Linked DNA regions of Macaca fascicularis. The protein of the gene in region 1 purifies or fractionates together with the protein of each later gene. This does not show direct contact. Links are inferred from orthologs where the notes say so. Each region holds a gene or a part of one and is shown on either strand. Other genes may lie near its edges.

Region 1 (3,830 bases):
AGCTCTAACCCTGGATGAAAACTTCTGGCTTAAAAGACAATGGTCAGGTATGGCAGCCCATATCACCAACAAAATAACCTTGTGGGAACAATATCCAAAGGAAAAGCCATTTGTCCATTCAATTTTTGTCCTATTCTTAGTGCCTTCGTATCTACATGGGATGTAGACTCCATGGTTTCAGATACTGGTGTCCTGAAGTCAAATGTAAACAAAATAGTATCTGGAGAGTCCTTTCTACCTTTCAACTGCAGTTGTCATGTGGGTACTTTGATTTAGGCAAAGGCTGTCTCAAGAGCAGAAACACAAAGCAGGGACTGTGGAGAGGGTTAAAGTCAGGAAGTAAAGAGTTTTGAGGTGAGAATGCAAATCAGCCCCATTTAAACAACTGTGAGGCTCTGTTCCAGCCACACAGTTTCATTAACTCAATTTGGAACTCCCAGTCACAAAAATGACATTTCCACAGTCTTGACATTCTAAATGTCATGAGAATAAAATGCAAGCCAAAAAATTCCTTCGGCTCGCAAAGATCATTACATGACAGAGTAAAATCAAAAAAAGGGGAAAACTTCCTCAATACTAATAAGAAAAGTACCCGAGAAATCATCACTTGAAGAATTACAGCCAGACTGTGTTGCACTGGAAAATAAATGCACCTGGGTTAGAATGGGGTCACAGTCTGGGTTACATTGGTATATAAAGAAGAACGCATTTTGAAGAGTGCATGCCCTCACATTTTCCCTTCATTGAAATTCTTGTACTGGAATAAATAACTCTGCTTGTTAGGTCTATCTTCTACCTGATCAGAAATGTACCAAGAAAATGTCAATAGGACAACTCTGGTCAATTTTGCTTATGGAACAAAATACATTTATAAAAGAGCCATATTTGCTACCCCATATTCTATCCACAAATGGTTATAGATGGTCATGAAGACTGTCTGTTTCCTGTTCCAAAGCAATAGCTAATAAGGTAACATCACCCAGTTCCAAGGAGAATTTCAGTAACATTCAAATTTAATACATAAATTGCATCCTTCTCAAAAAGGCCAGCAAAAGAACTGATGCTATAACTATGAAAACACTGCTTACCTTCATTACATGCCTGCATTAAAGAATTTTCTCTGAATCATTTTTCCAAATGTGACATGATCACATATATTGGTAATCCAGAATACATAAAAAGATATTTTCAGTATGTTGACAAATTATTTTAAGTAAAAAAAAAATATGCTCTAACCTGACCAAGTTCTTCATTAAGGTCTGATGTGTTAACCAGGGCTCCTTCATTAATTTCTTCATCATAAAAGTCCTTATCCCATGAGATGAAGAAGGAGCCTAAGAATTTCTGCATTTCTACTGTGACGTACATGGAGACAGGAATGATAAAGTTGAATAGAACCATAAATGATAGGAAGTCGGTGAACATTTTTAAAACCTAAAATAAAAGAGATAGTTCATGCTAATTAGACATACAATTCCATCAGACCAATATAATATAAAGGAAGAATTAATTTCATCTTTATTTCAATGCTGAAAACACTGCTCTTACTATCAAGATGGAACTTCCCAATAACACTACATCACTGTAATCAAAATTATCACAGTATGTGAGAATAATATTTAAGAACACCCTCAATTTTATCATTATTCTTCAGTATATACGACTTCAGTCAGTACTTTTTCACTTCTTTAAGTTCTCTTTGCTCACTCCACCCTAAGATATGAATGTGAGATCAAAGTTCGTATGTAAGCATTCATTATGCTTTTATTGTGACATCTCACATACTCCTCTTATATTAAAATGCCAAAGCATCTTGCCAAATTGTTTCATCTTAAATTCTTATATAAAGAGCTAAAAACAAGCACAGACGCCTAAAGTAAAAGAAAAAAAAAAAACTCTAAATCTTCTTAAATATTTATTGGCTTAGAGCCACCATGTAATCAAGAGAAAATTCAGAAGCTTACAAAAGGTGCAATTTCCCTGAGCAGCATTTCAGTGAAAGTTGGCTCAGTCACAAAGTTCTAGAGTTTCAATTTTCAGCAGAAAACAAATTACCTTCAAAGTCTCTCGCTCTTTCTGAGTCTTTTGGTTATACCAAGGTTCATCATTGTATGGGGTACTCTGCCAAACGTACTTTAGAGTAGTGCATACTGCAGCTTTGGTCAGTAAGATAAATAAATATACAATCAGGAAAGCATTAATAGATCTGAAAAATAAGACAGCATGGATTTTAAAACCACCTAATTATTAATACTTAAGACATCAGCCAGATATGAATTAAACTACTGAGTCATCTAAAGCTTTTTCTGCGTACGACGCATAACTATAGCACAAGCCTTTGTGTGTGAACCTCAGTTATCATAGCTGGAGCATTACTTTCAAGTGGCAAAATGAAAAGCTGGCCATGAACTGTTTATTGACCACCAATGCTCTCCCAAGTGCAATGGCTGACTAGCGGAACACACCTTAGTAAGGTTCCTGTAAAGTGACAGGGGACGTACACACATGCACACATACAAACACCATTACTTACTCAACCCTTATAGAAGGAGTATCTTGTCTCCATTTCCCTGAATCCTAAATGTTTGGGGTAGAGGGCACGGTAGCAATGTGAAATCCTCAAGTTCGGTGTAGGTTCTTTCAGTTTGAAAGTGGAGCTACGGAAAGGGTGCCAGTGATGTACTGGTTATCCATGCCAAATATAGGGTGAGGTCTATGGCTGTGGCACCTGGCTTGAGGATCTACCAGGTAATGCTTCAATAGGTGCCAGGAGACTATTATCTATATTATAGAACCAACTTGCATATAGCAACTAAAGGACTCCAAACTATTGACTCCACTAGCAAAAAGGAATGAATTTATAGTTCAAGTAAATTCTGCCCTTTAATAGCTATGTGAGCTTAGGTAAGTCACATACCATCTCCAAGACCATTTCCTCATCTGTAAAGTGGAGAGGTTAACATGAATTATTTCACAGTGTTCTTCAGAGGACTAAACCAAATCAGACATACAAATCATTGAGCACAGTTTCTGGTACATAAACAAGTGCTTATAATAGTAGTTGCTATTATAATTGATGTTGTTTTTTGTTATGCTTGTTACTTGGAATTACCGAGAAAAGTAACTATTTTAATCAATAATGACTAAATAAATTGTGGCGCATACTCATACTAACTTTTCAACAGCAGAACGTTTCTGAGATTTCCCTTGGTAGTTCAAAGCCATTTTGGTTTCCATTCCAGTGTAAACAGCAACTCCTAAGAAATTACAGAATATAATGAAAACTAAGAACTTGTCAACCAACTCCTCACACAGCTGGCTCTATGAATTTTTAAGCCTATAAAAGCAGGAAATCTAGGCCCTCTTCCACTCACCAGTTGTATATCATTTATAGTATAATTTTAATTATATAGAGTATTTGTCATATTTCTTCTTAGTTTACCACCTTATAAATTCCCAATATCTAAATATAGGTTTAGATTAAATGGCAAACCTGCCATGTTTACTTTTTAATATGCACTATTTATTCACAGCCTTTACAAAGCATATTTTTTGATAAGTATATCTTAAAAATTGTTCACCATATATCTTCTCGGTATTTTTTAGTGTAGCTCCTTTCAGCAAGAGATTTTCAGGTCCCAAAGACCTAAATAAAAAATGAACACAGCTTATCCAAACAAGCCAATAGCATCAACAACTCTGGGGACAGATTTTGCCCTGACACACACCTATTTCCAAGGGGTTCAGAATGTATCTGTCTACTTATACCATATGCTTACTCCCCAGGACAAGCTGAAAGGTCCTTCATTCTGAAGTTACTTGAGGGTACA
Region 2 (3,830 bases), on another chromosome or scaffold:
AACAAGCTAGGTATTTTTAAAAGGGAGATTGTAATTGGGCCTAATGTAAAGGCCAATGAGAATACCTAAAATTGGGAGTTGAGTGGTACTGGGATGTTTTAATATATATATTTTTAGATATTAAAAATCAATGGATGTGTTAATTTGTATCAATGTAATTGTTCATAATTTTGATCTATTGGTAGTATCAAAACTCAAAACATTTTATTATTAGCTGTTTTGTTCCACATTAATAAGTTCACATTCAGTGCTGATAAATAACATTTATTCCACTCTATGTGTTAACACTGTGCTGAGTGTTTTCTGCTCATTATTTAATTCAGGCAGCAGCATATCTCCCTATTATAGACCAGAACACAGGAATATCGAGCACTTAAGTAACTTACCTGACTTTACACAGGTAATAACAATGAGTTGGGGTTCATAACCAGGCTGTTGACTCCAAAGGCCATAATTTTACTCTCAGCTACCAACATAGGCTACATCTCTGCTAGTTCACTCAGTTACACCAACCCATATCTGCATAGATGCAGTCTTTATTAGGAGGGAAATAGTAATTTCTTTTATTCTAACCAAAGTCTTTACATCTTTTAATCTGGAGCCTATATTTTACATACACTGTGAGTGAAGAGATCTCCCAATGCTAGAATCTTAAATGTTTGCTGATCTTTGCATTTTTTATTTTCATAATCCAAATGAGTCATAATCCAAGTGGGTTTTGGTTTTAAAATGGGTTAGTAAATGGTTAAATTAATAGACCCAATTTAAAAATATTTTTTTTTGGATTCTAGTCTCTTGCTATTGCACCTGAATACACAAGTAAATATGGCCTGCTATGGCAAGCTAAAAGTGACCAAGTTTTTGAAACTAAATCCACATTGGAGCAGTTTTGGACAGACAGACCCAGTTCAAGTGCTGATTTCTAGAACATTATCCTGAGGAGATAGTCAAACTAGAGAGCAGCTCTGTTAAAATTAGCATCCAGAAAATCTCTAGAGAGTAAGGGCACATTTAGCAACCTGTAGCCTAGGGCACAATGAAGGGAAGTCTGTGAAGCACTGAGGAATTCTTAGTTGATAGATAATTGCCACACAGGAATTCCGCAGCAGGGTCCCAACTTTGAAAGAACTATCTAAAGGAATGCATGATATATGGCAGATTGAGAAGACTTGATAAGACCGGAATTTGGACCTGCAAAACATCAAGGGTTAATTTTCAAAATTGGGCATACGGTGGGAACTGAAGACTTCTAGAATGAAGGCAGAAGCCTGTTTCTTTAGGGTTGGGATGCTAGAGAGAGACTAGCATGGGCAATTTGATACTGTATCCCACAGAATGTTGGGTTAGCTAGAGGTCTCAAAATCATTCCTGCCTTAGTTTAGGGTTGATTTAAGAAGTTAGCAGAACCGAACCTGCCATTGGGAGTTAGGGACCCATAGGGACCCATCTGTGGGGATGGAGAGTTGAAGAAACTAGAGAAACAGATAGGGCCTAACCCTAGATTCAAAAGATGCTTTTGAAAAAGTTGTAAACTTTTTGCATGGAGACTTGGTTCTGGCTTCTTCGCTACCTTACCTCTTGCAAAATTCTACAACTGGTCCATGTAGATAATTCATCTAGTATACTGGTGCCCTATTTCCTAAATCTCCTTAACAGCCCACCCTTCACTTCCACTGTTAGCTATCAGCTGTGTCACAGAGTGAGTTTTGCCATTGCTCTAAATCAGCAAGTTAAAACTTTGTTATGCTTTTTGACCTTTTGCTCAGAGCCTTTTCATAGTCTCATAACTACACTCTTGCTACATGTTCTTTGAGCTCACAGAGACTTCTAGTCCCTGATTTTTTCCATTTTCTCCTGGTCTGTCAGTCTCCTTGTGTGGACTTCATTGTTCACTTGAACTATTTTTTTCACATTGCATTCCTTTGAGGCCTTTTGCCCCTTCCATGTAATGAGACCAAAAGCACCTGAGAAACTGCGTAACCTTTACATTTTGTTTGTTTTGGTAAAATATTTTGGCTTTTACTACTGACATTTAATTTGCTAAATCAGTCTTTCAAGATAATATTTTGTGTGTGTGTGTGATTTAGAACATAGGAGTAAGGTACCTGTATATCCTAGAATTACACAAATGAATTACCAACAATTAAATGGCAACTTTTAAAATTATATTTTAAACATCAAGTAACCAGAGATGGAAAAATCTTCCTATACCCTCTTCAGATTACCCTGTACATTATTTTGATGGACGAAAACGGATGATCTTGAGTACTATTTCGTGGATGGGAGGAAAAAATCCATTTTTGGGGATTGCTTACATCGCTGTTGGATCCATCTCCTTCCTTCTGGGAGTTGTACTGCTAGTAATTAATCATAAATATAGAAACAGTAGTAATACAGCTGACATTACCATTTAATTTATATTATGAAAGCAAATCATCTGCATGTGCATCAAGGCCAGTCCTATTCAACCTAGCTTTCGAATGCTGATGTCTGGTTAGTATGTCATTTTGAAGTTGGCACATAACTTTTCTAAAAAAAAAAGCAGTCTTTGTTGTTTGCTTCTTCCCTATGGATGACTTCTGAAAATATATGACGGGTATAAAAAAATTAGCTATATTGATCATATCAACACTGTAATTGCTGAAATGGCATTCTAATGTTTGCTTTTTATTGGGACAGGCCACATGATGCATAGAGCCTCTTTCATGTGACTTGTGTCTACTGCTTAAATCTTTATGCTGTGTTGATATTATATTGACATATGATGCTATATATGTGTATGTATTTTGTGGAGAAAGGGATTACAAGATGTATGAGTATAACGACTTGCTAACCTTTCAGGATTCAGAGAAAGATGAAGAAAGACCATATCTAAATAATATACTTCATCGTTTTCATGTGTATAAATGCTTAAAATACCATCTTTGTTGAGGTGGTTCATGTATCCAGTTTATCCAGTACAGTTATTTGTCAAGCTTAGCTTTGATTTCAAAGGACATACTTACCTTATCTAGCATAAGAATTAATGCTCCTGTCTGCAGTGGTTGGGTAGGTCCTGCTTAGGAGAATTAAAAAATTCCTCTTTCCATTTGGTTAAATGTTGCAATCAGGAACCCCAACTCACTTGGAATGTTTTTATATGTAATCATTTCCCTTGAAGCTTATGCTTTGTAAGGGAAGAAAGAATTCAGGTGATAATGGGAAAACTGCTTGGCAGAGCTTCATCTTCTGCCTCAACTGTAAACCACATGTAAATGCTTAATGGAGACTGTTTTCATTCTTGTGATATTTAACATTCAGAAAATTACTTCAGCTTTGGAAATACCTCAGGCTGTTTTTATTTTGCAGGTAAGTGTTTTGACTTAAGTACTAATATTCCAGAAATTTTTGAAAGCAGTAACCTTAATTTCCTATGTATTTCATTCCACTTTTGCATATAGGTCAAATGGCAATGTGTATGCACATTCTCTTTAGTTAATGCACCAATTGTTTTGGTTGGTTTTCCTAAGACATACTTTAAAAAGATGTTCTGTAAATTTCCTAATTAAATTATGGGGATTTTGGAGTATGTACATGATAAATTATAATATGTATATGGTTGAAGTTATTTTATTTTTTACTAACTGGAATTATTTTAATATTCCTTATTGAATAAATGCTGTAACTTGTTTGCTATGGAACTTATTCTTAAAGTTCTAGTTAAAAATAATTTTTCCACATGCATGAAAATGTATGTATTAATCAGAGGTGGCTTGATTACATTGAAATTGCTTTATTATTGTTGTTGTTGTTGTTTTTTACTGAAATAACTCATGTTTGTGTAGAAGAAT

What was found.
Region 2: the proteins of ATP11C (region 1) and TMEM30A purify together in Homo sapiens (co-immunoprecipitation; 4 studies listed by BioGRID and IntAct, with this or other methods). This does not show direct contact. The link is inferred for Macaca fascicularis from reciprocal best matches to the Homo sapiens genes ATP11C and TMEM30A.

Annotation. Positions count from the first base shown.
Region 1 is NC_088395.1:146,045,582-146,049,411, forward strand, and holds part of ATP11C (phospholipid-transporting ATPase IG), read right to left. Parts: intron 3,647-3,830; coding exon 3,582-3,646; intron 3,258-3,581; coding exon 3,176-3,257; intron 2,207-3,175; coding exon 2,056-2,206; intron 1,435-2,055; coding exon 1,237-1,434; intron 1-1,236. UniProt on the Homo sapiens protein: Catalytic component of a P4-ATPase flippase complex which catalyzes the hydrolysis of ATP coupled to the transport of aminophospholipids, phosphatidylserines (PS) and phosphatidylethanolamines (PE), from the outer to the inner leaflet of the plasma membrane.
Region 2 is NC_088378.1:99,868,981-99,872,810, forward strand, and holds part of TMEM30A (cell cycle control protein 50A), read left to right. Parts: intron 1-2,220; coding exon 2,221-2,414; 3' UTR 2,415-3,830. UniProt on the Homo sapiens protein: Accessory component of a P4-ATPase flippase complex which catalyzes the hydrolysis of ATP coupled to the transport of aminophospholipids from the outer to the inner leaflet of various membranes and ensures the maintenance of asymmetric distribution of phospholipids.